Linked DNA regions of Alligator mississippiensis. Each later gene encodes a partner of the first gene's protein in a complex. Links are inferred from orthologs where the notes say so. Each region holds a gene or a part of one and is shown in the gene's direction. Other genes may lie near its edges. The genes, in order: MED23, MED19, MED31 and MED26.

Region 1 (7,722 bases):
CTCCTGAAAAATTTTGTTGGACCTGTAATAAATCACATGTAGCAGTAGGAATTAGCAAATATGAAGTAAAATTTAAAGTAAATGGTGCTTGGCTTTCTAATGGTTCCTGGATATCTAATTACTCCCCCCAGAGTAAATTTTCTGGGTGCTATTCACAATGGATGATGAAACCTCAATGTAGCACCACCTTCACTGCACTGGCTGGTCATTATTTTGTAAGTGAAAACAAAGCTTATAAAAATCTTCCTTCCGGGTGGGAAGGAACGTGTTATGTTTCTGCCGCATACCCTGCTTTCATAATTAAATCACATTTGCCAAAAAGAAAAATTCACAATGTTCGCAAAATTACTGAAAACCAAAGATTTGGGGGTATAATGTTCCCCAATTAGGGGGCAGGCTTAGCTATGTTTGAAATACAGAAGGTTGCAGTATCCTTTAAAAAAATAGCCAATGCCACTGCCATTGGGTTCCGTGAAATAAGTAAAGAAATCAAAGAAATGAGACAAATGACTTTGCAAATTAAACTTGCTCTAAACTATATACTAGCCAGTAAAAGAAAAGTATGTGCCCTGATAAAGTCTGAATGCTGTGTATATACACCTAATGCCTCTAGTGCCCTTGAAAATCAATCTGAAATTATTGAAAAAGAAGTTGTCGAACTTCGCCAAATTAACCAATGAGATATGAAAGGAATGTGGTCTTGGTTAACCTCCTGGTTCCCAAATTTAAGAACCCTTGGCAAGAAAATCCTGTATGGAATATTGTTTGTCTTGATAGTTCTGACAATGTTTTATGTCTTAGTGCAACTGATCCTCTGCTGCGTAAAAGCCAGCAGGAGAAGCTTCAGCAAGGCAAAAAAACACACGACAGAGTCTAGAATAATGGTGTTACAAAAGTGTAAGCAAATTAAAAGAAAACATAAAAGGCTGCATAATGAAATAGAGGGACTCATGAAAATAAAAGTTTAAGGCTAAAGTGAGACTAAATAGTCTCAAAGGGGGGACTGTGGAATCAGAAAAAAAATAAATGCCTTAAACTTTGATCATACGGGTTATAAGATGACATAACTGCTTTGTGGGGAATTGCTGGTTCTGCATAGTAGAGCAGATAAGGGAAAGTGTTTGTTCTTTGTAACTCCTCTGCAACTGCTTTGCTCACCGCAGCCTCAAAGAGAGGAGAAAAAAGTATGTACAAACTCTGATTTCCAGGGGCAAAAAGGGAGTGTTAGTTCTCGCTTCGTGAATTAACCTTGTCTCCCCCATAATTCCCATCCTGATAACAGCAAAGCAGTAATGAGCTAGTGTTTGTAGCTGCTTTTTCTAGCAAACTCCACTATATGATCATGTGAACTGTTAAAAAGTATATAAGCTTCCTGATTTTGCTCTTGGGGGGAAACCCATTCCAAGTGCTTGGGAAATCCATGCCACTTTGGGGTTCCCCCCTACAGCTGCAGTTTCATTTGAATAAAAGCTTCTGCTGATCTGACCCAAAAGTATGCTGTGTGTGTTTCCACGACAAGGCCATCCTGCAAATTTTGCAGGGACAGCAACACCAAATAGATGAGCTAATGAAACCTAGGACAGAAGAAAATGAAGCCCATAAGCTGTTATTTGCCCAAAAGCTGGCTCTGAATGAGAAAATGATGGAAACTGGTAGAGCACCGAGAGGAAGAATGGAGGAATTCCACATGACTTGGATGATTCCTGGGGAGGACCCAGAGGCATACCTTGAAGCATTCCAGAGGATGGCCACAGCAGCAGGATGGGATAGTCAAGTGGGCCTATCAGCTGGGTTCCCTAGTAATAGGCAAGGCATAGATGCCATATAGAGCTCTGTCAAGAGACAAAGCAGGTGATTACTAGGGCTGTGCGAAATTTTGCCCAGTGTTTCGTTTTGAAGCTGTTTCAATGCCTTTCGAGCTCGAAACAGCAAAATCAAAATGAAACAAAAGCCTTCAAAACAGCTTCAAAACAAGACAAGGGAACTCAAAATGTTTTGAAATTTTTTAAACGTTTCGAGTTTTGAAGCCAGGCTTACTTGGCTTCAGTGCCGGTCCCATCCGGCAGAGGCAGCCTCCTGTCATCTGGCAGGCAGACTGGGGGCCCGCCCAAACCTCCAGAAGGCTGCAGGGCTGTGTCAGACTCCTCCCGGAGGTGCAGGCCCCAACAGGAGGCTGGGGCTGCTGGCTGGGGCCAGCAGCAGCACTGATCTTCTAGCACAGGCTGCACCCAGCGCTGGTCCCAGCTGGCAGCACCAGCCTCCTGTCATCCGGCAGGCAGATTGGGGGCTTGCCCGCACCCCTGGGAGAGCTGCAGGGCCATGCTGGACTCTTCCCGGGGGGTACAGGCCCCCGATGTGCCTGCCAGATGACAGGAGGCTGGTGCTGCCGCCTGGGACTGGCGCTGGGCACAGCCCGCATCCAGCACCGGGAAGATCAGTGCTACCGCTGGCCCCAGCCAGCAGCACCAGCCTCCTATCATCCGGCAAGCAGATCTGGGGACCTGACATTCCTTGCAATAGTTTATATGGGTTGCACCCACACCATGGTGTGAACTGAGTTAGTTCCGCCTGGGGTAGGAGAATCCTGTGAGGCGATAACAATGATATGTTTGCATGGAGATGCTACAACCTATAAGAGGCAAAGTATTCCTTTAATGGTCCTTGGAAAAACGTATGACATGCTGGTAGGTTTAGCTAAAAACCTACCAAATCCATTGATACTAGGCAGGAATAGGCCATATATCAAGGTTATGCAGGAAGTAACCATAGAACCTGGGATGCTGCAAAGGCCCTGATGCTCCAGCTGACCAGATGAGGGATTTACAGGACAAAAGGGAGACAAAGAAACTTTAAGAGAAAGTATGGAAGAGTCACTGGATATACAAGGCCTGATTGGTCAAGGACAATTCCAGGCAGAGCAACAGCAGGAAGATGCATTTTGACATGTCTGTGGAAGCAATGTGGCTAGCTGAAACAGAGAGGTGATACAGTCCGAGCTCACAGATCAGAAAATGCAGTTTGAGGTAAGAGACAACATTCTTTATTGAATTGATAAAGGGATGGGGGCAGAAGAGGTAGCTCAGGTTTTAGTACCCCGGGGGTATAGGAAGCCCTTGTTATGGGTGGCCTATACCTTACCATTGTAAGGGTGGCATCTGGGAACAGACAAAACAGTGGTTCACTTGTTAAAATGGTTCTCTTGGCTGGGTACATACAAAGAAGTAGAACAATTCGGCAGGAGTCGCCTGCTCGCAGCCCCATCCCATCCACCTGGCCACACTCTCTGCACATGAGGGTCCCACATAGTCTTCACGTAGACCCCAGGATCGCTGGGCAGTGACAACACTGGGCTCGGGCCAGGGCAGAGTCATGATCTACTCCTTGCAAGTGCCTGGAACTGGAACCCATCGCAGGGGTGTGCAGGCAGCAAATCACAGCTCTACCCTGGGCCCCAGTCCTGCACTGTCACTGCCCAGTGACCTCAGGGTCTCTATGGAGAATGGTCAGGACCTGCCTGGGCAGGGCACGAAGACAGGCAGATGGGATGGGGCTGCATCTGGGGCCAGGTCCAGGATCTTGGGGCAGTGACAGCACAGGGCTGGGCCAGGGCAGAGCCGCATTTGCTCCCCACATGCCCCTACCTGCAGAACTTGTGCCCATCTCAGGGCCTTGTAGGCAGCGGATCATGGCTCTGCTCTGGCCCTGGTCCCACACCGTCACCCACCTGCAATTTTGCCTCATGACCCTGGCCTTGCCTGCCAGTCCTGCTCCCTGCCCCATCCCAACTGCCCAGCGGTTCAGGAGCCACTTAGGGAGTTTTGGTGAGCTGTGGCAGGGCAAGGGGAGGTATTGACCTGGCCTGCAACAGCTCACAAAAACTCCCTCTGTGCCTAACAGGCCCAAATAATTGCCCACCTGTTTTAGCCTGTAGTTCCAAAAGGTTGGTAAGGCTAGATTAGGATCATCTTGCTATCCAAAGCGCTTTCTCTCCATCTGTCTTCATTCACACCCAAGATGTCAATAACATTTCCAGCTTGCAGCATTGCAGTTCCATCCCAAAATCCTTCATGTAGCATGGCTAGTAAGTGGAGCAGCAAAGTCTGCAAAGTATTAGCCTCTTGCCAAAGCAAGATGATTTGGTCCCATGTCCTACAGTTTGTTTGGACACAGCTCAGTGATCCGTGTGAGAGAGATCGTTTCCTGTTTCTGCAACATCTTACATGGGGTAAATGTCCCACAAAACTCTGTATTTTCTCTATATAAAACTCTGTACGTTCTCCCCTATGTCCTATCCAGCATGAGTGTGCCAGGTTGCAGCCCCTTCGCTGCCTCTTCAAGAAGGTTCTGGCTGCCATGGGACCCACGCTGTCCTGTTCGTGCAGGCCCCATCTGCGCCCCACCACGTCCAGGCAGAAACATCTCCCCGCTAGGGATTCCTGCTTGAAATCCCTGGGTTTGTCTCGTGAATTGGGGGTAAGGGGCCCCACCCTGCACCCCAGGGATCTCGGAGCACCCCAGGACCCGAGAGCAGCTGATCTTCCTGGGAGAGAGGAGTCAAAATGCTTCTTGCCCCCATAGGACAGGCTGATAAAAGTCTGGGGGAGGGGCCACCCTGGAGGACTCGAAGCTAGCAGTGCTCGGCCTCTTCACGCTGCGGTCAGTGCCCGGGAGGGGCCAGCTCTCGGCTTCCTCGTGTTCATTAACCGCGCACAAAGCCGGACCGCCTCCCCCGGCGGCGGCAGCTTCGGGCTGCACAGCTTGAGCCTGCGCGCGCAGCTAGGCCGAGAAGGCGCCCCTAGCGGAGCGGGCGGGTGGGCAGGCGCCTCTTGCGGAACCACCGGCGCGGGCGCTGCTGCCGCCGGGCCGCTTTCGGCGCCGGCCCTTCCGCCGCGCCGGGCCATGGCGGTCCCGATGGCGCCGATGGAGACGCAGCTGCAGAGTATCTTCGAGGAGGTGGTGGTGAGTGTGGCCCGGGCCGGCAGCGCGGCCCCTCGCGCGGGGCGGGGCGGGGCTGTGCGCCCCGGGGTCGGGCCTTGGCTGTGCGCGGGGAGGGGCCCGCACTGAGACGGGGCCTTATCCGTGTAGACAGAGATGCGCGTGTGCATGTATGTGTACACATGTTCATGCATGCATGTACACGTGTACATATACATACACGTGTGCGCGCACACATGCAAACCCATACACACATGTGCATGCGCGCACACACGTACAAACCCGTGTGCACATACACGCACGCACACTTAGGCATATGCATACACGCATCGGAGACAGCGGTCCCTCGGAGTCGAGGATGACGTCTGTGGGGCTTGCTGGGTCCTCAGGTGAGTGAGGAACCCCATCCTGAGTGCACAGGTTCTTCCGCAACGGGGGCATGTTGCTGCACAGGGCAGTGGGATTCGCAGCCCCAGGTTGGTCTCCGTCTTCCTCCTCCACTGTTGCCGTTCTGCCTCAGTATAGAGTCGTTGGGCCTCAAGGCGGCACGCGTCATACATGTATACGCACACGTATGCGCACATATGAACACCCATGGATGCACACATACATGTGCATATGCGTGTGCACGTGCACACATAGCTGCATGCACACACACATGCACATATGTGTCTGTGTCTTCGGTACTCCTTCACAGTGGAGGATGATTGTCTTCCACAGCTCTCTTATCTGTGTGTCCAAAGCTGCCTGACAAGGCCGACCTGGGATCCACAGACTCTGCTGCAGCTCTGGCACAGGTTTCCATGCAGTGCAGGTGGCTCCAGATTCTCGATTTGCTCCACCGCAAGCTGCTTCTGCCAGCCCCATTTTTCTGTCTCTTGTTGTCATTGTAAGGTTTCAGGGTACTGGAAGTACTTTCAAAGCATCCTAGGGGTGCTGCCACTGCGTGGTCTGCATGACTGCTTGTTCACCAGTTACCCCTGCTTATTTCGCAGCTAACATTTCCTGAAGGTCATTCCTCTATCTGCCACCTATGGATGTGCTGGGTAGCGGTACAACTCTGTCCCCAGATAATATGCATCTCTGTCCAGAAAATGCATAAGCTTTCCTAACCCAAGTGGTGAGGGAACTTGGATTATAGGAATGCTTGTACTTTCTCTCTGTTTTCATGCAGTCATAAAATCATAGAAAATTAGGGTTGGAAGGTGCCTCTCTGGGTTGCCTGCTCCAGTGCCTTGCTAGCCTCCTCATGAGAGTGTTTTTCCTTATAATCTAACCTAAACTTCCCTTGCTGCAACTTGAGACCATTGCTCCTTGTTCTGCCATCTGGCCCTACTGAGAATGGTCCAGCTCCATCCATCCTCTTATTTTTTTAAGCTATATGTATTTCATATGGCTGAAAGGCAGTTACAGAGAGGATGGAGAGACTTTTCTCAGTGGGGGCAGATGACAGAATAAATAAGGAGCAGTGGTCTCAAGTATATACGTGTGTGTGTGTGTGTGTACACAAACATATGTAGACACACAAGATTTGTGTGTGTGTGATATGTAAATGTGTGTATATGTGTATGCATATATGTATAAACATACACACACACACTTTTATCTAGAGAGAAAACAAGCTTTCCTCAGCTCAGGATCATGTGGATTGAAGTTAAATTTGTACTGAGATTAAGGTTTTGGTGTTCAGAGCTGGAGGGGAGCAAGGGGTGCCAGTAAAGAATGTAAAAAGTAAAGAGATTCCTTTGCAGCCGCAAGCCAGGAGAACGAGCCCACTGGCAGTTTTTACTAGTTTTAAGGAGAGTGGCTGGTACCAAGACCAGACAGGTGGGGATTATATTAGTGAAGGCATGAGACCACAAGAGCCCACGCAGGAGCTTTGGACATTAGATCAAAAAGAAAAGGTTGAATTCTGGCAGAAGCAAAAATAGTTGGCCAAGATCTAGAGCAGGGTTGGGCAACTATTTCGCGCAGAGGGCCACTTAGCCAGTTTTGGCAGGCTGTCAAGGGCTGCATGAGTAGCCCTGCCCCTTGATAGGTGCCCTGCCCCCTGGTCACTGTCTTGGGACCAATGTCCCAGGGCCAGCACTGGTGAGGCCCAAAGCGAGGCACAGGCTGGCAGGAGTCTGTGGAACCAGGCTGGGCTTCACCAGCAGAGAGAGTGGGGAGTTGGCCCGGCTCCATAGAGCCCCTGCTGACTGAGACCCTGCGCTTCTGCCACCCTGCTCTGGGTCCCACCGACACTGGCCCTGGGACACCCATGTGGGCCCTGTGCTTCCACTGGCTCCTGCATCTGCTCACTCCCACTCACTCTGTGCGCTCCCCGCGGTACAGGAGGCGGGCAGCGCACAGCCCCAACCTCCTGCTCGCCGGCAGGGAAGAAGCTGGCTCCTGTACCTGCTCACTCCCAATGCCCCCCAGCCCCGCGGTATAGGCAGCAGGCAGCGCACAGCCCCAACCCCCTGCTTGCCGGCAGGGAAGAAGCTGGTGCTGAGCATGGGGAAAAGCGACCGCTTGTCCACCCCATGGCTAGCCCTCCCTGCTGCAGGCGCTTGCAGCCCACATGAGGCTATCTGGAGCAGGCACAGGCAGCCCCATGTGGGCTGGAAGCGGCTCTAGCACAGGGCGCCGGGCACTGGGCGACCAAGGGGCCGCTTTTCCCTACACTCAGCACCAACTTGTAACCCAGCCCCACTGCCAGCCTGGGCTCTGTGCCGGCTCTGGGCTTGCCGCGCCAGGCAGTGTTGGCTGCTGCTGTCTGGCTGGAGCACACACTGGGCAGCCCAC
Region 2 (7,934 bases), on another chromosome or scaffold:
CCCCCCTCCACCCCCCCCACCAGCCCCAACTCACCAAATCCCCAGTTGGACGTCACTCACTTGAGAGAGAGGTCAGCAAAGATGGGTGCAAACGACTGGCACTCACTAGACCAGTTGGCAAAGAACTCCACAACCCATGTCACCCGCTTGTCCCGCTCCAGCTCCTCCTATAAGATGCAGCAACAGATCAGTTGGAGACCAATGCTCCAGGTCTGGCCCCAACTCTACCAGGCCAGCACCCTGGTGGGTCTCCCTCCCTTGTGTTATAGCGCAGCCTGCTGCATAGGCTGAAAAGGGGGCAATCACAGGCTCAAAGCTGGTCTCTAAGGGCATGTCTGCCCTGTTACTCAGCCCTGCCCCTGCTATTCCTACCCTTCTAGCCTACCATGAACACCACGTGCCCTTGGAGGTCGGGGCAGGGGGTGTGGCCCGCGTATGGTGAGTTTCTGCAGGCAATGGTGGCACTGTCAGCAGTGGGAGTGTGGTAGCAGTAGGCGGTGAGCTCCCGCAGGCAGCTGTGGCACTGTCAGCGGCAAGGGGGTGGGCAAGCGCCGACCATGGTCGGCAACCACCCACAGGCAGCACTGGCAGCATCAGTGGCAGCCAGCGGCGATCAGGGACCATCTGCAGATGCCACTGGCAGTGTCGATGGGAGGGGAGGAGAAAGCAGCAACTGCCCACAGGTGGCACCGGCAGTGTTGGCAGCGCCTTTCACAGGGGCTGCACCGCCTAGATAGGGGGTCCTTGTGCACCTGTGTGCACCCCCTATGTGTTGCCAATGCACCCTACAGTTAAACACCCTTAAACTCATCCTTGGCAGCAGGCCTGTTGACCCCTAGAAGCTCTCCTAAGCATGGCTCCCATCCCCCAAAGCATTCACCACAGTATTGCAGGATCTTGTCTGCTAGCACCCAGCTTCCAGATGTTCTGTGTGTTACTTCCTAGCTTTACTGCCTATCATCATAGCCAAGCACAGGAGAGACAGGTGGTGGACAGGCAATTCCTAGAAGAGCTCCACTGGCATGCTGCCCACTACCCGTCTCTCCTTTTGTGCTTGGCGTGTATATGACAAAGCAATGTAAACAGAGACGAACAACTTATGTGGTAGGGGTAGATAACGGTGACCCTCTAAACAGCAGTACAGATCTACTGCAAGCCAACCCAGCCTATACGCACTTCATGGCTTGGAGAACAGGGGGAGGCAGGGAAGCAGGAAATACTCACATCAATGGTTTTGTCACTGAAATACTTGATGTACTCAGGGCCCATGTAGAGGGGGGGCTTGCAGGTCATCAGAAACACTAGAAAGGCATACACATGGCATACACATCATGAATGGGCCAACTCTGTACAAGCCTCCACCCCAGGAGCAATTTGCTCAGTCTTTGCACTGTTCAAAGCTGGAGGGTGCTGGACCTGTCATACTGGAGCACGAATTGGGGAAGTGGCAGCAGCCAACCCTGGTGAGGCTGGTTTAAAAGCATCCTGCTTTTGAGCCAAGTGGCAGCACCTCCACCTGGCACTTAACATCAACTGGAATCAAAACACATTTCATGATAGGGAAACTGAGGCACAGATGGTGGAGGAGCTGTGCCCAAGCTCACCAAGCAGGGACAGTGGCACAGCAAGGAACAGAAGAAAAGAGGTCCCAAGTCCTAGCCACTTTGCTATGCACCAGAAAGAGCTGCCACCCTACGTCCTGAATTCTGCATAATGGGCAGGCTGGCAGCGGTTATGCTGCATGTGCAGTGCCTGGTGCAATAGGCACTATCTTGGGCTGGAGCCAGTTGGTGCCACTATAATTCAGACAATATTAGCAAGCAAGTCCACTGATAGGGGCAAAGGGCTGATATGGAAGGAGTGGATGCCCTCTGGGGCAGCCACTGCTCCAATGCAGACAGAATAAAAGCGGGAAGACTTCATCAAGAGGATGATGTTTGGTCCAAAGATGGATCACGGATGACACTTAAACCTAAAGCAATGCTGTCACATGCCCTCTCTGCCCCTGCAGAGAGGAGAGGCAGGACAGCCCCATAATGGCCGGGAGCTGGACCCAGACATTTTAACTCCCCATCCCATCTGCATCCCTGGGACAGCCCAGCCCTACTGAACCAGCCACCACAGCAACAACCAAGGAATGGGCTGACAGGCAGAGGGACTTTGTCCAGAGGCCACAGTTCAGACTTCTCTCAAAGAAGGCATTTCAGAAGCCCCAATGGGACCTGGGTCTCACCTATGCACAGCGTGAGGTACAGCAGCCCCATGCGGATGTCCAGCCGGAAGAAGAGGATTGCATTGGCCACTTTGCTGAACATGAAGATGTTCCCTATGTGCTGCTCGATGGTGACTGGGGGGAGACAGAAAGGCAGGGGTCAGCAGGAGGGCCAGGCACTCATCCCTGGATACCAGAAAGCCAAGAAGCTTGAAGGAGAAACAGTAGTATTGCACCCATTAGCCAAGTTCCTTTCCATTCAGACCCAATATTTATTGTCCCATCACCTCCCTAAACCTCACCCCATAGTTTAGGGATATAAACATCCTTTAAAACAAAACAAACAAAAAACCCTATCCATTTAACCTTCTCTAATTATATTGGTTAAATGGTTAACACAGGGGTGGGCAAAATGCGGCCTGCCAGGCCATTCTATCTGGCCCATGGGGTCCCTAAAAAATTTAGAAAATTAATATTTATCTGCCCCAGCTTCCTGTCATGCAGCCATCAATAGCTTGCCCAAACTCAGCAAGCAGCCCTACGCCCAAGATAATTGCCTGCCCCTGGGTTAATCGATAACATAACAATTGTAACACAACTGCTGCTGGGAGCTGTGCCCACAGCTAGACAACGGGCTCCCAAGGGAGGTGGTGCTGTCCCCTACCCTGGGGGTCTTCAAGAGGAGGTTAGATGAGTATCTAGCTGGGGTCATCTAGACCCAGCACTCTTTCCTGCTTATGCAGGGGGTCGGACTCGATGATCTACTGAGGTCCCTTCCGATCCTAACATCTACGAATCTATGAATAACCCACATGAAGTCCCCTGTGAAGGAAGAGGTAATTGCTTAATTGACGAGTTGAGTTATTAGACTACCTGCTGTTTTTCTGGTTAGCCTCATGGGCTAAGGATACTAGTTCCCCTCACCTGCCCTTCCTGCTGGGGCAGTGGAAGCTTCCCTTCCCTGCCAGATTGTACCCGGCCCTGTGCTAAACAATAACCAGTAAGCCAATTAGTTATCACTGGGCTTATTGGTTAAACAATTAATCATTTAACCTTTCACATCCCTACCACAAACTGACCCCCCCCCCCCACACAATTCCTCCACAACTTCTCCTGTGCCCTCTGACCACATGCTCTGGGCCTGCCCGCCCTCCTTCCCCAAGCAGTTCCACAGACCAGTCCTGGGGGCATGAAGTGGAGACCCAGCCATCCCACAGGCATCCAGAGGAAATCGCCCACCCCAAGGGCAGCACAGGGAGTCAGCCCCATGCCAAGGAGGCTCCTGCCCCAGGAAGAGGAGCTGCAAGGAGGGAAACAGGAGACACTCACTGGATCTGCGGTTCTTCATCATCACAATGGCACTGAGGAACATCAGGATCTCCACCTCCCGCTGAAAGAGACTGTGGAGTGAGCATGGGGCTGGGACATGGCAGCAGGGGGCTGGGGGCAAATGCAGGGATGAACCAACAGAGCACAGGCCTGGGGGCACCTGTGGAGGGCACGGAGGTGGTGTACTGGGCCAAACTAACACAGCACAGGATATACGACATGCAGAGAGCACTCGCACAGGATGGAGGGGAGTTCTGGTGTGAACCAGTACAGCACAGGACTGTAGGCATCTAGGCCAGCAGTTCCCAAACTGACAGATTGCATGCCACCAATTTAAAATGATACAACCTTAAGTACCCCCAGCAAATTTCAGTACCACCGGCAGATTTCTGTCCTACAAAGCAATGATAATAAATCTGGTAACAGGTGCCATGGACAGGTTGGCTGCATACCACTGGTGGTACCTGTACCACAGATTGGGAATCGCTTTCCTAGGCTGAACCATCCCAGGTGAAGGGAGAGGAGGAAGGAGGGGCATCAGGCTGAACCAATGCAACCCAGGGGTCCTGGGCAGACCGCCCTGCACGGAAAAGGGGGCCAGCCGCAAGCATCAACCGGGACAAGCTCCGCCTGGAGGGACCCAGCACAGGCTGACACGCACACGACCTGGTGCCAGCAGCACATGCCACCGGCGTCCACTGGAGGCAGCGATCACACCTGGCTCCGGCCTTATCTGGCGTGCAGGTCTCAGCCCGCCGGCACCTGCCCCATTGTGGCACGCAGCCGCCCGCAGCCCCGGTCTGCTCCGGGGCAAGGCGGACACCCCGCCGCGAGGCGCGGCACGGCACGGCACGGCCCGGGCTGAGCGGGGCCTGCCCGCGCCCCGCACGCACCCAGTCGAAGTCGCAGGCGTTGCCGTCCTCGCGCTGCGTGGGCAGCCCCTGGCATAGCGGCGGCACCTTGCGAGCCAGCAGGAAGGCGGTGGAGAGCAGCGCCGAGAGCAGATAGTAGGGCCGAGCCAGCCAGCGGCACAGGCCAGGCACGGAGCACAACAGCGCCAGCAGCGGCGCCACCACCGCCATCTTCACCTCCGCTGGGGCGCCGGGGGGCGGGGCGGGGCACTGAGCCACGCATTGGCCAGCGCCGCCGCCAGTCACCTGCCATCCCTCCTCCTATTGGGTAGCGCGGGCTCGGGGCGGCGGGACTTCGCTGTCAGGGGGCGAATCGGGTGCTGGGCCACGGGTGGCGCCATCAAAACGCGCCGGAGAAGCACCAGTAGGACCCCAGCAGGGGGTGGAGCCGAGCGCAGCGACACGCCCCACGCGATGGGCAGGGCGCAGGCTCATCCAGCGAGCAGGCGCGAGGCGGAGCTTGGGCAGTTTTTATCCAGTCAGGGAGGGGTACGGGGCCTCCCACCACTCCAATGGGCAGAACCCCAAGCCGCTAGGCCAATGGGAGGAGACCGCGCAGGGCAGGCTGGGATGATGGAGAATTTCTCGGCGCTCTTCGGCGGAGCTGAGCCGCAGCCTCCCGCTGCGGCCGCCGCGCTGGGCTTCGGGCCGGGGAAGCCAGCAGGGCCCGGGAGCGCGCCTCCCCCCACCGCCGCGGCGCCGCAAAGCGGAGAAGACCACTCTCGCAAGACCGCGGCCTCCAGTGGCCCCTTCTATCTGATGCGCGAGCTCCCAGGTAGAGGGCGGGGCTCGCGGCAGGTAGCCAATCCGGGGCCGTCAGGCGGGCTGAGGCGCAGCAGCCAATCCGGGTGCTCCGATGGTTGGCTGGGCAGGCCGGCCGGCCTATCACCGCATCTAGCGGCGGTTTCGTCCACGGGGCGGGGCGCTCCTTGCGTGAGGGAGAGGGCGGGCGTTCTGTATTTTTTGTGACTGACAGCCAGTGACCGAGGAGGAGGGCGTGTGGGTGGGGAAACAGCCTCTTACCCGATGAAAGGCCGCCGCGGCACTGGGGTCCTTCCTTGGGAGGGGGCGGTTCCTACGGACTCGGGTCTGTTGCCGGTTCCCCCCGGCGGCGGCCGCCGCCTGCCTGTGGTGGGTGGCATGGGCCGGTCAGGCCTCGCCTCGGCTGCGACGGGCACCCTCGGCCCACAGGCAACACGGAGCTGACGGGCAGCACCAACCTGATCACGCACTACAACCTGGAGCACGCCTACAACAAGTTCTGTGGCAAGAAGGTGAAGGAGAAGCTGAGCAACTTCCTGCCCGACCTGCCGGGTATGATCGACCTGCCTGGCTCCCACGACAACAGCAGCCTGCGCTCCCTCATCGAGAAGCCACCCATCTGCAGCAGCTCCTTCACCCCCCTTACTGGCACCATGCTCACGGGCTTCCGCCTGCACGCTGGCCCGGTGAGCCGCCCTACCCTGGGCAGGGGTGGGCATGTGGCCGGGGAGCAGGGCTGGGAGAGCGATGTGGGCTTGTCTTGCCCCGCCCCGTGGGAGCGGGAACTCCCCGAGCTGACCCGGTCCTGGTGTCTCCTCAGTTGCCAGAGCAGTGCCGCCTGATGCACATCCAGCCACCCAAGAAGAAAAACAAACACAAACACAAGCAAAGCCGCACTCAGGATCCTGTGCCCCCAGGTAAGGGCTGCAGCTCACAACCCCACCTGCCTGTGTGAGAAAGCAGCAGCCCATCCACCCCAGTTGTCTTCTGAAAAGGTCAGGCCCTGCCTGGACAGGTAACTAGCCTGTCAAACCTCAAACTGTGGCTCTTCTTGCAGAAACCCCTTCAGACTCTGACCACAAGAAGAAGAAGAAGAAAAAGGAGGAGGATCCAGAGCGGAAGAGGAAGAAGAAAGAGAAGAAGAAAAAAAAGGTGAGTGGCAAACTAAGAGAGGGGCTGGGGGTGCACTGGCTCCACTCCACATGTCCGTGCCCAGCTGTGCTTGCCGTGCTGGGGTGGGACAGAGCTGCAAATCTGTCTAGCCTAGTGATTCTCAACCAGGATGTTGTGACAACCTTTCACAGGGTGCCACTGGGAGAGAGGAGATGAGTATGAGCTCTTCTAACTACTTCTCTGCCTTCTTTTGCTCCTGCCCCGACACTCACTGCCAGCTGCTCCTCTTTCTTTGCAAGCCACTAAAATAAACACGTTGGCTTTTGGAAAGAGGTGTTGCTCAATTTGCAGTTGTGGAAGGGTGCCTTGAGCCTAAAAATGTTGGGGACAGTTAGTCTAGCCCCTTCCCTGTGACCTGTTTTGCTCGGGAGTCTCCGTCCTGGCATAAAGCCCCTTTGTAGGGGTCTGACTTAAAGGCTGAGGAGGCTCCAGCAAGAAACAGTGTTTCCCATCTGGATCTGGCTGAAAATAAGCTCCTTCCCCTTCCTCATTCCTCTGCACAAATGGAAGCACAAAAACCCAACAAACTGAATTAGAAAATACAGCTGTGGGCAGTGGTGGAGAGAAGAATTGGTAGTTCTGGCTGCCTCATATTTCCATTTTATTCTTTATTTTCCATGCACCCTGGTCTCCTGCTGTGAGGAAGCAGTAGTGCATCCTGGAAATTGTAGTGTTACCAGAGGTCTTATAGGAGGATAGGAACATGGGCTGTACTTCCATGGTCTCCTATAGGGCCCTGTAGCAGCATTTTTAAACATCTCCCTCCCCAACCCTCAAATGTTTTCCATGAAAGTGAACTTCATGGGGAGAACTGGAGTTATAATCCCAGTTTTTAATGAGAAGACTGCTTGGGTCCCTTCTGACCCTACCAACTATGAAATTATGACTGTTTGTTTTTAAAGGAAAAAAATCTTCCTCCAGCTTCAGGGCTAAGCTATCATAGTCCACTGGTAACCTGTACAGTCTCACTGTGGATTCTCAGGGAAGGGTGTCTGTGTCTTGTCTGTTCTTCCTAGAACCGTCACAGCCCAGAGCACCCAGGAGTGGGGAGCTCGCAAGCCAGCAGCAGCAGCAGCCTCCGGTGAGGGCAAGCACGACCCCAGTGCTAAAGTGGCTCTGGGAAGATGCCTGCTGCAGATGTGGGTGACTGGGAGAACAGTCCTGGAGGCAACACTGACTGAACTCTTCTCCCAAAGCGGCTTATTGGAGGGCACTTGGGCTGCCTTGCCTGGGGGCACAGACTGTCCAGACACAAGCCGGCTGGGAACATGGACTGAAATGGAGATGGTACACAACCTGCTGCCCTGACCCAGAGCCAGGCCCAACTTTTTCCTTTTTTTTTTAAATACTCCTGACTAAGTCAGGTGCTTTCTCCTTTTTATTCCTGTTTTAATTAAATCTCTGCTTGGGAAGAGGCTGAGGGCCATGTCTGACAGTGGTCTGAGCCATGCTGCTGTTATCTGATCTGCAGGACTAGGAGATGTCAGCAGGGTCAGGCAACACACCTGCCTGGCTGAGACTGCTAGGGAACCCTGCAGTGGAGCACT
Region 3 (7,968 bases), on another chromosome or scaffold:
ATAGAAGCAAGATCATAGTTATCACTGACTGACACGATTGTTAGAGCATATTTAATTAAAGGCTTAACTGTTCACTTGAGTTCTATTTTTGAGGTCAAGGAACTGGCAGGTAACATGCATTTCAAAAGCCCATCCTGTGATAGCTTTTGCTAAAACAATCTTCATCTGGAGCTTATCAGACCCAGCTCTGAGGAAGCTTCAAGTCTTGTTGTCGAAAAGACAGGGATTTTGTGCCTTTTTTTTTCAAACACAGGATCATGCGCTCATATAACTGGGACTTTCCAATTTCAGAAAACTAAGGGGAATGAGAAGTGATTCTGAGATTAAATATCATGCTTCATATTTCAAAGTAGGGGCATCATGGACAAAGCTGGTAGAGTCTGATCTATTCTTTGTAACACTCTCTGTGAACTTGGTGAATATAAGGGCAGGCTGGAAAACACAAAACACCCAGAACAAGTTTTATAGAATTCTCACTAGAAAATGAAACTTGTCAGTAAGTATTCACTATGAAAGACAGCAGAGTGGTCTTACAGTCTGCTTTTATTAAGCTGGAAGGCAGTGATTTCTGTCCCTATTTCATAAAAAAACATGCTGAGAAATGACTTTGGGATGAATAAGCATTAGGGAATGCTGTTTCTGTTGTTTTCAACAAGATGGAGGGAACAATCAATTTATAACTCATTAAAAGAAAACCTAAGATATCTTAGGACCCTACTTTAAAAAATGCAGCATCTTTAATCTCAGAATCACTTCTCATTCCCCTTTGTTTTCTGAAATTGGAAAGTATCAGTTATATGAGCGCATGTCCCTGTGTTTGAAAAAAAAGCCACAAAATCCCTGTCTTTTGGACAACCAGATGTGATGAAGCTTCCTCAGAACTGGGTCTAACAAGCTCCAGATGAAGATGGTTTTAGCAAAAGATATCACAGGATAGGCTTTTAAAATGTATGTTACCTGTCAGTCCCTTGACCTCAAAAATAGAATGTATTTATTCATATAATAACTTATATCACGTATAAGAACTTAACTAAATATGTTCTGCATGGATTAGCCTGAGCTCATACATGGTAACTGAAACAGGCCCTGCTCCAGTCTATAGCAAAGCTTCCGTGGACTTCAGTCAGGGTTGGATTTCACCTGTGGGATTCAGCAAGATCTCTTGCTATGTCTTTGCATATCACTAAACAGAAGAGTTATATTGACCTGGGAGGAACTCAAGTTTTGTTGCCACTTGGTGCTGTGGCAATTACATACGAGAGCTATGTGTCCTTGCTATAATGCAATTTAGACTTCTACAGGTTTTAATTTCTATAGAGCACTGAACTTAGCTTTCTACCTGCTTGTTAAATACGTGGCACAGAGAAGGCACTCTAGGACCAAAAATTCACAGCAAACAGTATTTAGCACCTTCGAAGGGTTTGAAGCACCCAGGTCTGCAGCCTCTACTTACACATATACTTCCATTGATCTGGCATGAGCAACAACTGAGGCACTGGATTTCAAATGATAAGACTGATATAGGGTATGTATGTAGATGGAAAAACTGAGTTTAATTTATCTTTTAAAGTCACATGGAGTTTCCATGTCAGCACTTAAAATTCCTGGTTCACAGTCGCACGTTCAGGCCTCTCATACCTATATAGTTACACTGATTTTTATTTCAAAATCTTTTCCCAGAACATGTAACCTTTGTTCTTTTCCTGTGACTTTTTGATTTGTTCCCAGCTTTGATAGCCCAAAATTGAGATGCATGACTCAATCTGGGCAAAACTACATGGTAATTTCATTCCTCTGACCAACCCATCTGAAGGGTCTTCTTCTCTGAAGTCATTCCTGGGAGAGGAATCACATTTCAGAATAGAAAAGCTGACACGTGGGATCTGTCTGATCTCTGCTTTTAGCCCGGAGTCTGTGTTTACCGGGGAGTGACTTCGTACTTTTCTATGTGATAATGGTAGTATTCCACGACCACTGAAACCTCATCTGAAAAAAGCAACTCTATTATATTAAAAAAAGCTAAGAACAAGTCATTTTTGGACACTTTCATAATCCAATTCCCAGGAGGAAGAAAAAAATCCATGTTAGATAGAAATAGATGAGATTATAGAAAATTGCTAGCTAAGACACTTAACATATTTTAACATACAAAATTAGCAATGTGATATCAGTTACAGGTTCTAGGTGAGTCTGTATATAGCTTTGTTGCTGTGGAGGCATCCAATATGATGACAGTGGGACTCATGAAATCAAAGTAGCGTGACAGCATTATACCATGGAGGTAGATTTTTTGCCCAGACATGAAGAACATGCATGGCAATAGTAGGCAGAACTGTAACTTTTGGAATAAGTGTGCAACCTCAGAAGCTGGGCTCCTGTGCAGGATGCTGGTGCAACTGTGCAGCTTCATTCTGCTCTTTCAGAGAATTTCATGTATTAATGGTCTGGCTATGACAAAGCTCTGAGGAATACAGCATTCGCTGCAGAGACTGGTTGACCTTCACCGTTCACGTTCATTTAGGAACAGGCTGGAGGACCTGGCTGCTTTTAAACAGGGATTTACAGCTACTTGAGATCCCACCCTTTCTCTCCTCTTACGTCCAAACTGGACGCTGTCAACCATGGTTGGTGCAGCATCAGCTTGTAATAAATTGATGTCTTGCAAATACTAGATAAATCTTTCATCTATCTACAAACACATCTGTCTGGGAAACTGGGCCTAGAACCCTGATCCCATAAATCCAAAGATATAGGTCACCTTATCTGGCCTCAGTTTCCATCCAGGGACTGAATATATACCCTTTGTAACTCTACTTTTTTCCTGGAAAACAATCTGCTGATACTATGCATCATTAAATCTCAGATACTAAGTTTGGGCTGGGTGGGATCTGGGCTGTGAGATCTCCAAGAAAAATCCAGATGTTACAAAAAGTGGTGTTTTGCCAGTGCCCACAATGCTAGAAGTATTAGTGGCAATTTAAATGCAGAAATGATCACACCCAGGCTATCCCACCACTTAATCTAGCACTGATGCTGCTTCTGTGGTAAAACAATGTGAAAAATCTAAGTGTAGTCTCACACATAGCGGCCACTGACATATACCAGAAATGAGGTTAAGTAGGTGCTGCTTTTCTATGGTAGTAAACACCCTAAAATACCTTTATGTAAGAGACTTGTTTTCTCAAAGAATCCCAATGCAAAATGCTGACGTAAAGTACACGGGTGTATGTTGTAGCCGTGTTGGTCTAAGGACATAGGCAGACAAGGTTCCTTGGGTGAATCTGATATCTTTTATTAGACCAACCTAAATAGTTGGAGAATAGTTGTAAAGTACAAAAATTCTACATGGACAATGAGGTTATGCAAAATTTGTTAAACACACGTTTTGGGGGTGTTGGTTGTAGCGGTGTTGGTCTAAGGACACAGATGAGGTTCTTTGGGTAAATATGATATCTTTTATTCGACCAACTCAATAACTGGAAAAATTATTCCTTGCAAGCTTTTGGGCGCACATGCCCTTTTTCAGGCACCGGGAGAGTTTGCTGAGTATTTGTGTTTTTGACACCATTCCCCCCCCCTCCCCCACCCCCCGTCGGATACTCACTGCCATGAATTTGCATTGCACAGACCTGCGTTTTGCATGTTGGCTTCTGTTCTACCCAGGAGAGCGCACACAACACCAGCAGATCCGCCCTATGCCTGAAGAAGGCTGTTTGTACCTGAAAACTTGCAAATTTTCCCAAGTATTTAGTTGGTCTAATAAAAGATGTTGCATCTACCCAAAGAACTTTGTCTTAAACACACACACACATGCACACGCACACACGCTGACATCTTAAAATGAAGAAGAGTGACCAGGACACCAATGCATGTTGTTTTTAATTGCAGACAAGTTGCTTTTAGGCAATGCAATGGATCACTTACCAGAATGAGCAATTCCTCTGGGTTGTTTTCTATCCAACTTTGTAACGTCTCTGTGGAAACGGTTTCGACTTCTGGAAATGATTCATGGACCCACTCGGTGGCTAAGCTCCTCATTTCTTTGGGATCGCTTACACGACCCACCTTTTGCAGAAATGTTTCTGCCATCGTCCTTGCAGCTTTAAACAGCTGGAAAGAAAAAGCTAACTAAAATCTCTTGGTTTATTCAGCAGATACTGGGTCACCTGGTACGTTTTGATACGAGTAAACACGGGGCAGAACCTTAACCCTTCTCATCGGTCACGAGGGATAGACGTGATCACACGGTATTTGTTATGTTTCTTCAGAAAATATATAATATCAAAATCTGCCCCTGTAAGTTGTAACGGTGAAACAAATGTTTTGCCTGGCTATGGGGTTGTTTTTTTGGGGTTTTTTTGACAGAAAATGTCTCAAATGTTTGGCAAGCCCATTGGAAAGCATGCAAGTCAAGTCCACGGTGTGCACAGAGAGGCTGTTGAAATAAAGCTGAACTTTGATCGCTGAAACTGTGCTGCCGGCGTGTTTCTCACCCCCCGGATCGCAACCCCAAAGTCCAGCTTTCTGCCGTCTGCTTTACTGCGGCGCGTCTGACTCATTTCGTGGCCTCACGCTTGATCTTTCCCTGGGGTAAGGGGGAAAGGACGCTATAAGGGGGAAAGGACATTGCCTCCCGCATACCACGGGTTTCTCTCGGGACGGGAAACCCTTCAACAACGACAAACAGTTTTTACAAAGGATGGTTGTTTTGGAAGTTTTAAAAACCGCGTTGGCTTGCAAAGCACGCGCCGCTCCCACCGCGGTGAAACACACTAGTAACCCCCTCATCGCTGCCATTGGGAAGGATTCAGCTAGGGATAAGAGGGACGTCATAACAGAGCGCGAGTGACGTCACGGGCCGGGCGAGCCCCGCGGCGCGCTCCTAGGGGCGGAGCGGGGCCCTGTTACCCGGGAAACCGTGCGAGGCCACGTCTGCGCCGGCGCGGCGGCTCCCGCCATGCATCGCGGGCGGGCCGGCGAGCGACTTCCGGGTGGGGCGGGGCGCCGCCATCTTGTATCCGCGGGGCCCGATCCGCTGGGGTCGTCATGGAGACAGGTGAGGGTCGGGCTCTGTCGCTCCCGCCCCAACCACAACCACAACCACAACCCCTATTCCGATGCCGCCGGTGGCTGCTGCTGCTGCACGGCCCTACCTGGCTGCGGGAGCGGGGTCCCGGCCTTGCTTTTACGCTGCTGTGGCGGGAGCCCTGGAGGGTCCCGGGGAGCGGGCGGGCGGGGTTTGGCCCTCGCGGGCAGAAGTGGATCCAGGGCGGCCGGCCCGCCCGGGGGGGCCTCGGCCTGCAACGGCTTGTGCTGGGGGGGCGGTGTGTGAGTGTGCGCACAGGCGTGCATCCCTATATGGATGCACACGGCCCGTGCACCCCTATTTATAGCTACACGCAGGCGTGCGCATCCCCAAATATAGGTGTATGCTTCGTACACACACACACACACACACAGATACACCCCCCGACTTCCAGCCCCACACCCCCCTACATACAGATAGATACACCCCCCCTCCCCTACATACAGATACCCCTACTATATACAGACCCCCCCCATGTACAGATCGATACACACATACAGATAGACACACACACGTGCCAGGTGCTGTGAAATGAGCCTCAGCTTCCAAAAGCCAGTGCTGTGTCTGCTTTGCTCTGTGTGTATAGATGCTTTGGTTAGTCTGTGATGTTCAAGGCTACCCTTGGTTTTCTGACTCAAGATGGGGCTGCGGGGTGGGCATCAGCAGTGCTGGGGAGGGGGTGGCTATGTGGATTTTGGGGTGGCTGTAGCCCACCCCTCCCTGTATTGCTGCTTCTCACCCCACCCCCACCCACCCCAAGTGCAGTGCCCCTCCGAAGAGGCTGGTGCAGCCCCTGGCCTCCAGAGCCTGCCCTCACCGTGCACACAAATCCAGGGGGCCACATCCCCCCCCCCCCCCCCCGATGAGGCGTCTGTGGCTCCACCCCACTCCCAAGGTTGCATTCACTGTCCTGGCTGGTCAGCCCCTGCCCCTGCCCCACTCCTTCCCTCACTGTGGAGACCTTAATCTGCCCCCCTGACCCCCCTCCCCGACTTCCTGACAGTATCAGGTTGGTATCGGCCGATATGGCTGGTTAATAATCAGCCGTTGGTATCAGCCAAAAAAATCTTTATCAGTGCAGCCCTACTCAATTTGTTTAGCTTATCTTGGAGAAGGTTAAGAGCTAATTTGATGGTGGTCTGTGTCAGTCCGGCAGAAAGAGACCTAGTGTTTTGTCAGGCAAAGCTAGGTAAATTAAACTCGTAGTAAAGTGTACCCTTTATTAATTAATTGTTGCTATAGTTAACATAAAGGTTCCCTATTGGCTGAGGTCTTTAAATCGGTGATTTTCAACCTTTCTAGACTCAAGGTACCCTTTCATAACTTCTGTGAATTGCACTGCACCCCACTTCAAAAACTAATTTATTTCAGGTCTTATCTCCCTGCAGAGGGACATGGCATTGGGGGTGGGGGAGTGGCTGAGTCTTTAGTCTGAGTTTATCTACTCATCTCCTCACATCTCATTGTCACCCTTCAAAGAGTCATCCCCCCTTGAGATGAGAATCACTGCTTTAAATCAAAACTGGTCTCTTTCCAGAGTAACCCATGTCTCAAGCTCTTGTTAAAGTCTTGGTGCAAAATTAGAGAGTGAGGTTTTCATGTCATGCAGGTAAGAGGTAAAAAATTGCTAACATTCAAAGGGAAAACTAAATGCAGCTTTCATTAGCCCCTGGTTCTGCATTGTGGTCAGTCAGTAGTCATTTTTCCCTTTCAATTTCAAGGCCACACACGATTCTTTTGACACAACTTTTAAAAACTGGCAAGAGCCATTTTTCAAAACGAATCTGAATCTTTTTGGGGAATACATTGCTTGTTTCTTACTGTCTCAGATAGTTGAGCAACATAATCTGACATCAGATCCTTAATAGCTTTTTCCTAGTTATGGTCTTTGTAGATTGAGCTTCCTTTTTCTGATCTACTTCCTCTGTTTCAGATGATACTGGAAATCGACTTCGCTTCCAGCTAGAGTTAGAATTTGTCCAGTGTCTGGCAAACCCAAATTACCTCAACTGTAAGTAGTTGAAATTTCAACTGTGGGTATGTGAAAAATTAATATTACAGTAGAAGTCCTGTTATCCATCATTTTACTAACCAGAATACTCTGTTAACCGGAATTTCGGCCAGCCAGCCAGACACGGTGCTGGGGTGGGGAGGGAAGCTCGCACGTGGTGGCCGCCACTGCTACTGCCACCACCCAGTGCTGCCAGCACTTTGTGTTTGGTCGAAACATCCACCCTGTGCTGCCACCACCACCTCCTCCCTGCATTGCGTCTGGCCAAAATGTCCACCCTGTGCTGCTGCCACCCTTACCCCACCCCCCTGGCCAAAAACTGTTGGCCTCAGGTAACCAGAATTTTTAGATACCCAGCACCTCCCCATTCCCCACTTGTGCTGGATAACAGGGCTTTTACTGTTGTTAACTGTATTTCCTATTCTTGGAATGCATAATAGAGGGAAGGGGAGCAATACAAAAAAAGGGGGCTGAATTATTTAACCTAGTGATAATATGAAGTTTGCTTAATTCATAAAATTCCTTTGGCCAAGTAGGAATGGGTTTTTTATTAATAGGCAATGTTCTATTTTGTGTAACAATTACTTTAATTTATGAACTGCATGCAGGTGCCTTGGTAATAGATGCCAATATGAATATCTAAGTAAATTGCTAAAAGCCATGGGAATATATCAAGGAGACATTTTAAATGTATCCATGGGGATAGTGTCAACTTGAAATTTTTATTTAAAAATAGTTTCAGGTGCAGGTACTGTACCCACCCTGAAGCTCTCTACCAGTGTTCTATTATTTTACAATCAATATTTCCTAGTTTTAAAACATTGCATATGCTTTTATTACTGGGTAAATGACACACACCAAAAGGGGAAAG
Region 4 (7,996 bases), on another chromosome or scaffold:
GCGGGGCGGTCCCGGGGGGCAGGGCTATTTCGGAAGGCCCCGCGCCGGCCTTACAGAGGCAGGAGCCTCGCGGCGCGGACTGACCTGGCTCGTACTTGAGGTAGAGCACGGACACGATGAAGTAGCCCAGGTCGAAGAGCGGGAAGACGGGCAGGCTCGCGAAGGCGGCCGCCAGCTCGCCCGGCTGCAGGAGCCCCGACAGCTCCATGGCCGCGGCGGAGCGCCCCCCGGCCCGGCCCGGCTCTGCGCTGCTCTGCGACGCGCGCTCCGCCGGCCCGCAGCCCCGAGGGCACGAGGAGGCGGTGCCGCCCCGCCCCCTGGGGGCCCCGCCCCGCCCCGCCCCGCGCGCTATGGGGCGGGGCCGCCTGCAGCGTCTCGTGGGCGGGGGGCGGCGCCACCTGGCGGGCGAGCGCGGATTGGCAGGCAGGGCGGGGGTACTTCCGGTTCCGGTGCCGCGGCCGCCACCATGATCGGGGACCTGCTGCTTTGCGGGTACCGGCCGGCCGTGCAGGCGGGGGGGGGATGGCGGGGGGCGGGCCGGGCTGACGCGCTGTCTCCCCCCGCAGGACGCTGCTGATGAACGCGGGCGCCGTGCTCAACTTCCGGCTGTGAGTGCGGGGTGGGGTGGGGTGGCGTGCCGGGTGCAGCGCGCGCTGGCTGGCGGGCGGGCGGGCGGGGGTGCAACCCTGTGTCCCGTCCCGCCAGGAAGAAGAAGGACACTCAGGGCTTCGGGGAGGAGGCCCGGGAGCCGAGCACAGGTAAGGGCGGCCCGCGCCCAGGCGCCCGCTCGCGCTGCTGCGCGCGCACTGCAGCTCCGCCCCGCCCCGCCCCGCCCGCCCGCCCGCAGCCCACGGCCGGACCGACAGCGCGGTCAGACGCTGCCGCCCCGGCCCCGGCCCCGGCCCCGCTGGGTGGGACACGCCTTCCTTTCCTTCCGGACCAGCCCGCCCCGGGCCCATCGCGTGGCTCGTGCTTGCGCCACAAAGGCTCCTCTTGCCTGCCGGGATGGTGACGGGGAGCCGCTGGTCACGGGTCTGGCCGGTGCGCCGGCTTGCCCTCGCGCTCGCGTCGCCGAGCCCCTCCCTACCTGCGTTCTTCTCTCGCTTCTTTTTCTCGGTGGTCTTTCCCCTGGAAGGCGAGGACGGCGTTGAGTCAGCGCCGGGAGCGCGTCAGGCGCCGGCGTGGGGGTGCCCCGCGATTCAAGTAAACGCTTCTCCTCTCCTCTTGCTTTCCAGGGGACAACGTCCGGGAATTCCTGCTGAGTCTCAGATACTTCCGAATCTTCATTGCGCTCTGGAACATCTTTATGATGTTCTGCATGATTGTGTAAGTAGAACTGCTGCACGTGTTGCTTTAAAGGGGCAAAGCTACTTACCTTTGTCACCCGGTGAGACTTTTCCTAGTGTATTTGTAGTTAAAACACCCAAAACCTGAGCCAGGCCAGCCCCGTTGCGCAGTTGTAGCCAGCTGTCACCTGCTTCGTCTGTGTTTCATCCACTAGGTTGTTTGGCTCTTGAACGGCATGGAAGCGTGTACCGGGCGCAGGTGTTCTGTTGTGGCTGGGAAGAGGCTTTCGGCTGGAAACGTGACCGCTTAAAGTAAAATGTTGCAATGTTTTCAAAATACCAGTGTGGAATTCTGTGTTTTCTTTCTTTCATGAGAGTACCTAGATGTTACAGGGACAGGACACGCTCGTGCTTTTCAGCAAATTGTGAAAGGACGTGGTTATAAGAACAACATAGCATACTGTCAAGGGGCGGAGGGGCACTTTCATGGCTAGGTAGACCCAAACTGACCCTCCTGGACACTCGCCTCACCTAGATGTTACTGACTCTTTGGACTCTTCATGTCTCAGAACAGGGTCCCATCAACTCTGAACTAAGAAAAAACACCTTGGACCACACGCGCACTTCTTGCTTGCCGGCCTGCATGCTCGTTGTCTCAAGTAGTCTGGGCCGCCGCCTTGATTCTCAAAGCACAGCTCTGCAAACGGCACTGGTGGCCAACAGCATGATGCCTGCTCGCTATCTAGTATTATAATATTGTTTGCCTTTTTTTTTAGATTTTTTCTTCACTCATTTGAAACTCCTGGTCTTTTCCTGCCTTTGATTTCAGTCTGCCAGTATATAACATGGTGTATATATGCAGCATTTAAAGAGACATTTCTCTTGACCAAAAGACAAATTTTGACATTTATAAAAGGCTGTTTTCTTTTTTTAAGTGAAGCAAGCTGTTACAGTGCAACTTAATAGTTAGACCAGCCATTTGCTGCTTAGTTTTCTTTTGGCCGCAGCAATGACCTCAACATTTGGGTGCTTGGGGGGCTACCTAATGAAGAAATAACTGCAGAGGAGAAAAATACTGTTTGTTACATCAAAGACCATAGTTGTCTGTAAACTGTTCCAAAGACACTACCTGCAGACTTTTTGAACATGAAGTTAGTAGTCCAGGGGCCACCAGAATCAAGTAGTCTTCTAAAGTTGGTAACACACATCCTTATATTTGAAATGAGGAAGAACGCGTGCTCTGTGCTGTTCCATTTACTATAAAAGGGGCCTGGAGGCTCAGGAGACGTTCCAAGAAACTTGTGGGTCAAAAAAGAGAATTCATCATCAACAGAGGTAACAAATACTTAAACCAACTTCTAAGTGTTCTGATGACGTAACAGATTGAAAAGAAATAAAAAAATACATGTTTTCAATCTTTTTTTTTCCCTTGCATTTTCTTTTGGCTTTCCACGTTGTTTGGTAATAAAGTACTCAAGTAAACATTTGGTTTAAATTTGAAGAGTGGTGTTTGTCAGCCTGCTTTTGAGCTGTTATTGCACTGTTTTGATACCAGTTCTATTGTTCATGTTTCTTTTTGTGAAAAAGTGATAAATGTAATTGAGGACTTATAGAGACTGCAATTTAAATATCAGTTAATTAGATGGCAACTAGTTTTATCAAGTGGTGCGCAAAATGCCAAAGCGCATCCTCAGCTTCATACATCTAAAACAGTCAATACATGTAATGCAATCAAGCTTCTTCAATCAGTGTTGATGATTGAGTGTAATTGAATCTTTGGACCAGTGCTAGAGCCTTCAAGAAAAACAGCTCAGCTATGGCAGGGAACGTGTAACTAAGCAGTAAGAACACGTTTATCTGAGGGTTAAAGCGGGTGCTGTCTTGTTCCTACTCTGAGCACGAGTCAGCTTCATCCTAGAAGAACTTTGTTTGCGGTAGACTGTCCTGTAATTATGACTGGCTTCCCCTAGCATTTATTTTTATTAAGTTGATATTGGTGTGCCTCAGCCAGCAACTTTGACTATGGGCTGACAAAATAAATAGGGAAGGAAAGGGGTGGAGGGTGTGGGTGTGGGGGAAACATTACCTGACCCCACTTCTATGTTTCTTTTTTTTAAGCAAGCATCTTCAGTCACGGGCTCTCCTCTGTGAGCAGCTCATTGCCCGCTAGGCACTTTAGCTCCTGGACTGGAGAGGGATTTAATGGATTGTACCTCCAGTTCAGTCAAGCGTCCAGTTCTAGGCAGGAGCAAGCATGCAGCCGCTGCACAAGCGCTGTGTGCTCACAGCCGTTCAGGTCTGCGAAGAGATGCTGTCCCGTATTACCTGAAATGCTGATGTCGCTTGGGAGGGTCGTTGTAAGCCAAAGGCACAGCATAATCTACCTGGGAGGATTGATGGGAAAAGATCTTTGTAGAAATGCTAGGCTAACTCTGAGCCCCGCCTTGTCTATTATCTACTTTGATCTCTCTTGTGCTGTATTTTATCCCTTTCCCCATGCTTTCTGTTGATACTGTTTACCCTTTATTTCTGTATTTAATCGTTTTCTAAAACAAGATGTAAGTAAGGATTTGAGTATTCACTTCCACATGCCTAGAAATGCCCCTCCTCCAAGGGGAGAGTTCTTGTACTCTGGGGGGGGGGGGTTACTGCGGGAAGGGAAGGCAAGGCAAGGCAAGGTCCCGGCAGCGGGAGGAGCCAGGGCAGTGCCACGGCGTAGCTCTCTGCATTCGCCCTCTGTAAAGATGTGGAATAAGCTGCTTCAACCCCACTTGCTCAGTCACTCCCCCGCGGGGGTGACGGGTGCGTCCGGGCCCGGCGCCCCGCATCCGACGCGAGCGGTGCCAACCCGGGGGAGCCGTGCCCCGGTGCAGACGGAGCGTGGCTCAGGCCGGACGCGGAGTCGGGGCCAGGACGACGGCGGGATCCGGCCGCGCGTGGGCAGAGCTCGGCGGCTGCGCCAAGCCGAAGGCAGGGTCGAGTTGCACCTTGCAGACCGACTGCAGCGGAGGCGCGCTGCTCGGGGCCCAAGGGCTGAGCGGCCGCTAGTTGTGAAGCGGGTCGCTGCTTTTCCCGGCCGTGCCGCAGAGGGGGCGCGAGCTGCCAGGGAGCAGCATCGCCTCGCAGGGGCGGCCAGGCCGGCCTCGGGCCACGCACCAAGGCGCCCGCTCAGGCGCAGCGCCGGGCCGGGCTCGAGCGGGCCGCAGCGGACGCACGGGACCGGCCTCGGCCTGGGCCCGGGCCCGGGCCCGGAGGCAGCAGCAGCGGCACCCGGCGCTCGAGGCAGCGGACGTGCTCCCCCGCGGGGCGCTGACGGCGGAGAGCTGATGCGGCGCCCGAGCCGGGCGGGCAGCGCGGAGCAGGCCCCGCCCCGCCCCGCCCCGCCCCGCCTCAGGAGCGCCGCGCCGCGTCGTGTGCGCGGGGGGCGGGGCGGGGCGGGGCGAGACGAGGCGAGGGGTGGCCCCGCCCCCGCGGGGGGGCCACAACTGAGCCCAGGGCGCCCCGCCCCCCCGCGCACGCACTGGCTCCACCCCGTCCCCCGCGCAGGCGCAGTGGCTCGCCGGGCGCGCGGCCGCTTTGCCCGCCGCCGCGGGAGCGCAACGTCACAGGCGCGCCGTGCGTAAGGGCGTCGGGCGTGGGGTGTGTCCCATGGTGCCCTGCGCGGGGCTGGCTCCTGCCCACAGTTGAGTTCGGCCCCGAGCGGCGCGGACGCCCCGGCCCGGCCCGGCCCCGCCCGCCCCGCCGACCCCGCGCGGCCTGGCCCGGCCCGCGCCCCGCGCCCGCCCGGCGGCGGCGAGCATGCGGCTCCGGCTCCGGCTCGCCGAGGAGGCCGCCGCCGGCGAGTGAGGAGCCGCCGCCCCGGCCCGGTCCGGCCCGGCCCGGCCCGTCGCCCCCGCCCCGGCCGCGCCGCCCGCTTCGCCCAGGCAATGACAGCGGCTCCGGCGCCCTCCCCGCAGCAGATCAGGGACCGGCTGCTGCAGGCCATCGACCCGCAGAGCAACGTGAGTGCGGGCCGCGCGCCGGCCCCGGCCCGGAAGCGCCTGCCCGGGCGCCGGCCCGTGCTCCGGCTCCGCCCGGGTCCCGCCGGGCCCCCGCGCCGCCCCGCCCCGCCCGCGCCCCCGCCGGCTGCACGGGGAGGCGGCAGCCGTGGCCGGCCATGCGGCGCCGGGCCGGGCTGCGCGCCCTACGCGAGGCCGAGGCTCCGGCGCGGCCTGCGGCGGCTCCGAGCCGGGCTCGAGCGGGGAAGCGGCGCGGCCCGGGCATGCCCCGGCCTCGCTCGGGCGGAGCTGCGCCCTGCGGAGCCGGGGAGGCGGGCAGATGGGGGCTGAGGGGTGCTGCGCTCGTCCCGGGGGAGAGGAGAGCAGCCCTGGTCTCTGCTTGGTCTTTATCCTTTCTGCAGGGCGCTAAGAGGCTTATCGCCCGGTGTGAGGATGTGGTATTAGCGTAGCGAAGCCGGCGTGTTTTACGTGTAACTGGATTTAACTGAAAACTACTTCTTGGGTTTCTGCCCCAAGTAACTCGAGGGCTTTAAGCGCTGCCGTCCGTCTCTGCCACAGGCGCGCTCCTGCTCCCGCGCGCGGCAGCCCTCCTGCTCAGCTCGCCAGCCGGGACGCCGCTCGGGGGGTTGCGAACGAGGGCGCAGCTCAGGACCTCCGTCGTAGGTGGTTTCCGACGGCCCGCGCGCGGTGGGGGCGTTGGGACGGGCAGGCTTGAGCCCTGCCTGCCGCAGGGCACGTGAGGCTGGCACTTCAGTCTTGCCAGGGTCGTGAGTGCTGGGCCCTTGAAGACCGCAAACGCGTATTGCCGTAGCAAAGGCTAATGGCGTCTTCGGGGCTCTCCGCTACGCACGTGTCATTCTGCCGCGTGAAAGCTGGAGAAAAATCGGCCCGATACCTGTGGTTCTCGAGTGCAATGTTATACACCTCTCATCTTACATGAACTGCAATAAAATAACTCTAACATGCCTGAATTTCCGATGGGTTAAAAAAACCCAAAGAAACCCTGTGTACGCAGGGTTTACCCTTGCGTCTCACCTAATTGTCAGTTGGTGTAGATGTTGAACATAAAATACCTGCAGCACGGTTTTCATAAGGGAGAAAGTTCAGTTTAGAAGTTAGTACTACCTCAAAACCCTGGATCTCGGTGTAAATTATGAGCACCTTTAGAGTGGCATCGGAGGACTGGGGAAGGGCTTTTTGTGCCCAAACGCTTGTCTAACATCCCTTCCAACAATGTAGGTTTAATAAGAGATATTACAATGAAGCTTGCTTTTCTCTGGACTGTATGAACCTAAGAAGTGCAGCAGTTTCTCTAACTGTTGGAGCTAATTGGTGCTCATAATCAGAAAATCCTGGCAAAGAAAAGCTTTCTAACAAAGCATAGGTTTTGAAGGATTAATTTGCTAGGAGTTGTTTAATCACAATAAAAATGAGTAGCGGTCATTCGCATTCATGTTCTTGTGTATCAAATCAGTCTGACCCCAAGGCCTAACTTTAATTGAATGATTCAGCTGTGCCGGAATAATTTGGGGGGTTGCAGGGAGGAGGACTGTCCTAATTGGCAGATATCCCACTGAAAGGTGAGCTATACCAGAAAAAAATTCCCTTGCCTGTGGAGCAGTTTTGTGTGGGGAGCTGCTAGTATGAACTATCCTGGGAAAATAACTTTCCTGGGTTATAGGCTGTACCCCCATTTAGAAGGATTTGCTGATATATAGATACCAGCAAACTCACTCCAGTGTAGACATGACTAGAGTCATGGCTTTAAGGACTTCTCTGTGCATATTCTTCTTTTTTTTAACCTGTTATCCTAGCTGGACACACATGTGCATGCATGCCTGTGCACTTATCTGAAAGTCTGGTGGGGGACTTCAGCTTTTACACTTTTGCTTCGCTCGTTATACTCACTAGGTTGGGAACAAGGTGTTTCATTTACATACACGTTTAGTTTAACACTGAAACCTGTTCCACCAGTCCCAGAGAAGTATACTGAGATCTAAATGTTGTGTATAAATATATATACATTTCCCCCTGTTTCCCACCCACCCCAGGATGCATATAAGAAATAGATTATACAGACGAGCATTGGCTCATCCAGGGGCCTTCCCACTACATCAAGTTCTCCATTCCTTTTAATTAGGCTCATTTTACTAAAAATGCTGTAAGGACTCTAGTCAAATAGCGGGTGTCAACATTCATTTAACTGAAATGTTTGTAGATCAGCTACTGTGATTGGTACATAGGGGACAGAAAAGTAGGTGGGATCTTTTCCATTCTGGTTGTAACGTGTTGTAGAAGTGTCTGCAACTTGTATGTTGTGTGAAATGTTATAGAGAAGAGGTTCCCCACTGTTGCCCTCTGTTACTAAAAGTAGCGATATTTTTCTTTAGCGCAGGATGCACTGAGAAACCAGACATCCACTGAGCCGAATCCCTTACCCTTCTCTTCCCCACCTGTTTTTATAATGCTGTGTTTCATGTTTTTCTGAGGTTGGGTAGTGATATCCATGAAAACAGATTTATTAATCCTTGATTGGCAAACATTTATTGTAAATCTAAGGTTTAAGTTCCCTGTTCTTCAGCTACATAGGGGTCAAGTCCATAATAAACTTGCTAGTTTCTGGTGGGTAAATATATATTGCCATTTCTCCTTGAGTTTAAACATGGAAGATAAGTAAGGCAGGAGGTATGAACTTGGGGATTGAAAGCTCTT

The links.
Region 2: MED23 (region 1) and MED19 share a complex: the UniProt entries of both Homo sapiens proteins name them as parts of the mediator complex. The link is inferred for Alligator mississippiensis from reciprocal best matches to the Homo sapiens genes MED23 and MED19.
Region 3: MED23 (region 1) and MED31 share a complex: the UniProt entries of both Homo sapiens proteins name them as parts of the mediator complex. The link is inferred for Alligator mississippiensis from reciprocal best matches to the Homo sapiens genes MED23 and MED31.
Region 4: MED23 (region 1) and MED26 share a complex: the UniProt entries of both Homo sapiens proteins name them as parts of the mediator complex. The link is inferred for Alligator mississippiensis from reciprocal best matches to the Homo sapiens genes MED23 and MED26.

What each region holds. Positions count from the first base shown.
Region 1 is NC_081824.1:114,295,185-114,302,906, reverse strand, and holds the start of MED23 (mediator of RNA polymerase II transcription subunit 23), read left to right. Parts: upstream 1-4,713; 5' UTR 4,714-4,899; coding exon 4,900-4,959; intron 4,960-7,722. UniProt on the Homo sapiens protein: Required for transcriptional activation subsequent to the assembly of the pre-initiation complex. Component of the Mediator complex, a coactivator involved in the regulated transcription of nearly all RNA polymerase II-dependent genes.
Region 2 is NC_081825.1:172,520,782-172,528,715, forward strand, and holds MED19 (mediator of RNA polymerase II transcription subunit 19), read left to right. Parts: upstream 1-4,923; 5' UTR 4,924-4,992; coding exon 4,993-5,227; intron 5,228-5,643; coding exon 5,644-5,900; intron 5,901-6,034; coding exon 6,035-6,131; intron 6,132-6,271; coding exon 6,272-6,366; intron 6,367-7,403; coding exon 7,404-7,472; 3' UTR 7,473-7,802; downstream 7,803-7,934. Other genes in the region: TMX2 (thioredoxin-related transmembrane protein 2), read right to left, coding at 61-167, 1,225-1,301, 2,234-2,347, 3,542-3,602, 4,435-4,623. UniProt on the Homo sapiens protein: Component of the Mediator complex, a coactivator involved in the regulated transcription of nearly all RNA polymerase II-dependent genes.
Region 3 is NC_081837.1:9,414,268-9,422,235, reverse strand, and holds the start of MED31 (mediator of RNA polymerase II transcription subunit 31), read left to right. Parts: upstream 1-4,956; 5' UTR 4,957-5,046; coding exon 5,047-5,056; intron 5,057-5,153; exon of another isoform or gene 5,154-5,236; intron 5,237-7,019; coding exon 7,020-7,097; intron 7,098-7,968. Other genes in the region: uncharacterized protein LOC132244834, read right to left, coding at 3,925-4,110, 4,642-4,797. UniProt on the Homo sapiens protein: Component of the Mediator complex, a coactivator involved in the regulated transcription of nearly all RNA polymerase II-dependent genes.
Region 4 is NC_081839.1:407,095-415,090, reverse strand, and holds the start of MED26 (mediator of RNA polymerase II transcription subunit 26), read left to right. Parts: upstream 1-4,985; 5' UTR 4,986-5,212; coding exon 5,213-5,287; intron 5,288-7,996. Other genes in the region: TMEM38A (trimeric intracellular cation channel type A), read right to left, coding at 85-208; SMIM7 (small integral membrane protein 7), read left to right, coding at 467-492, 567-608, 706-758, 1,236-1,326, 1,502-1,517. UniProt on the Homo sapiens protein: Component of the Mediator complex, a coactivator involved in the regulated transcription of nearly all RNA polymerase II-dependent genes.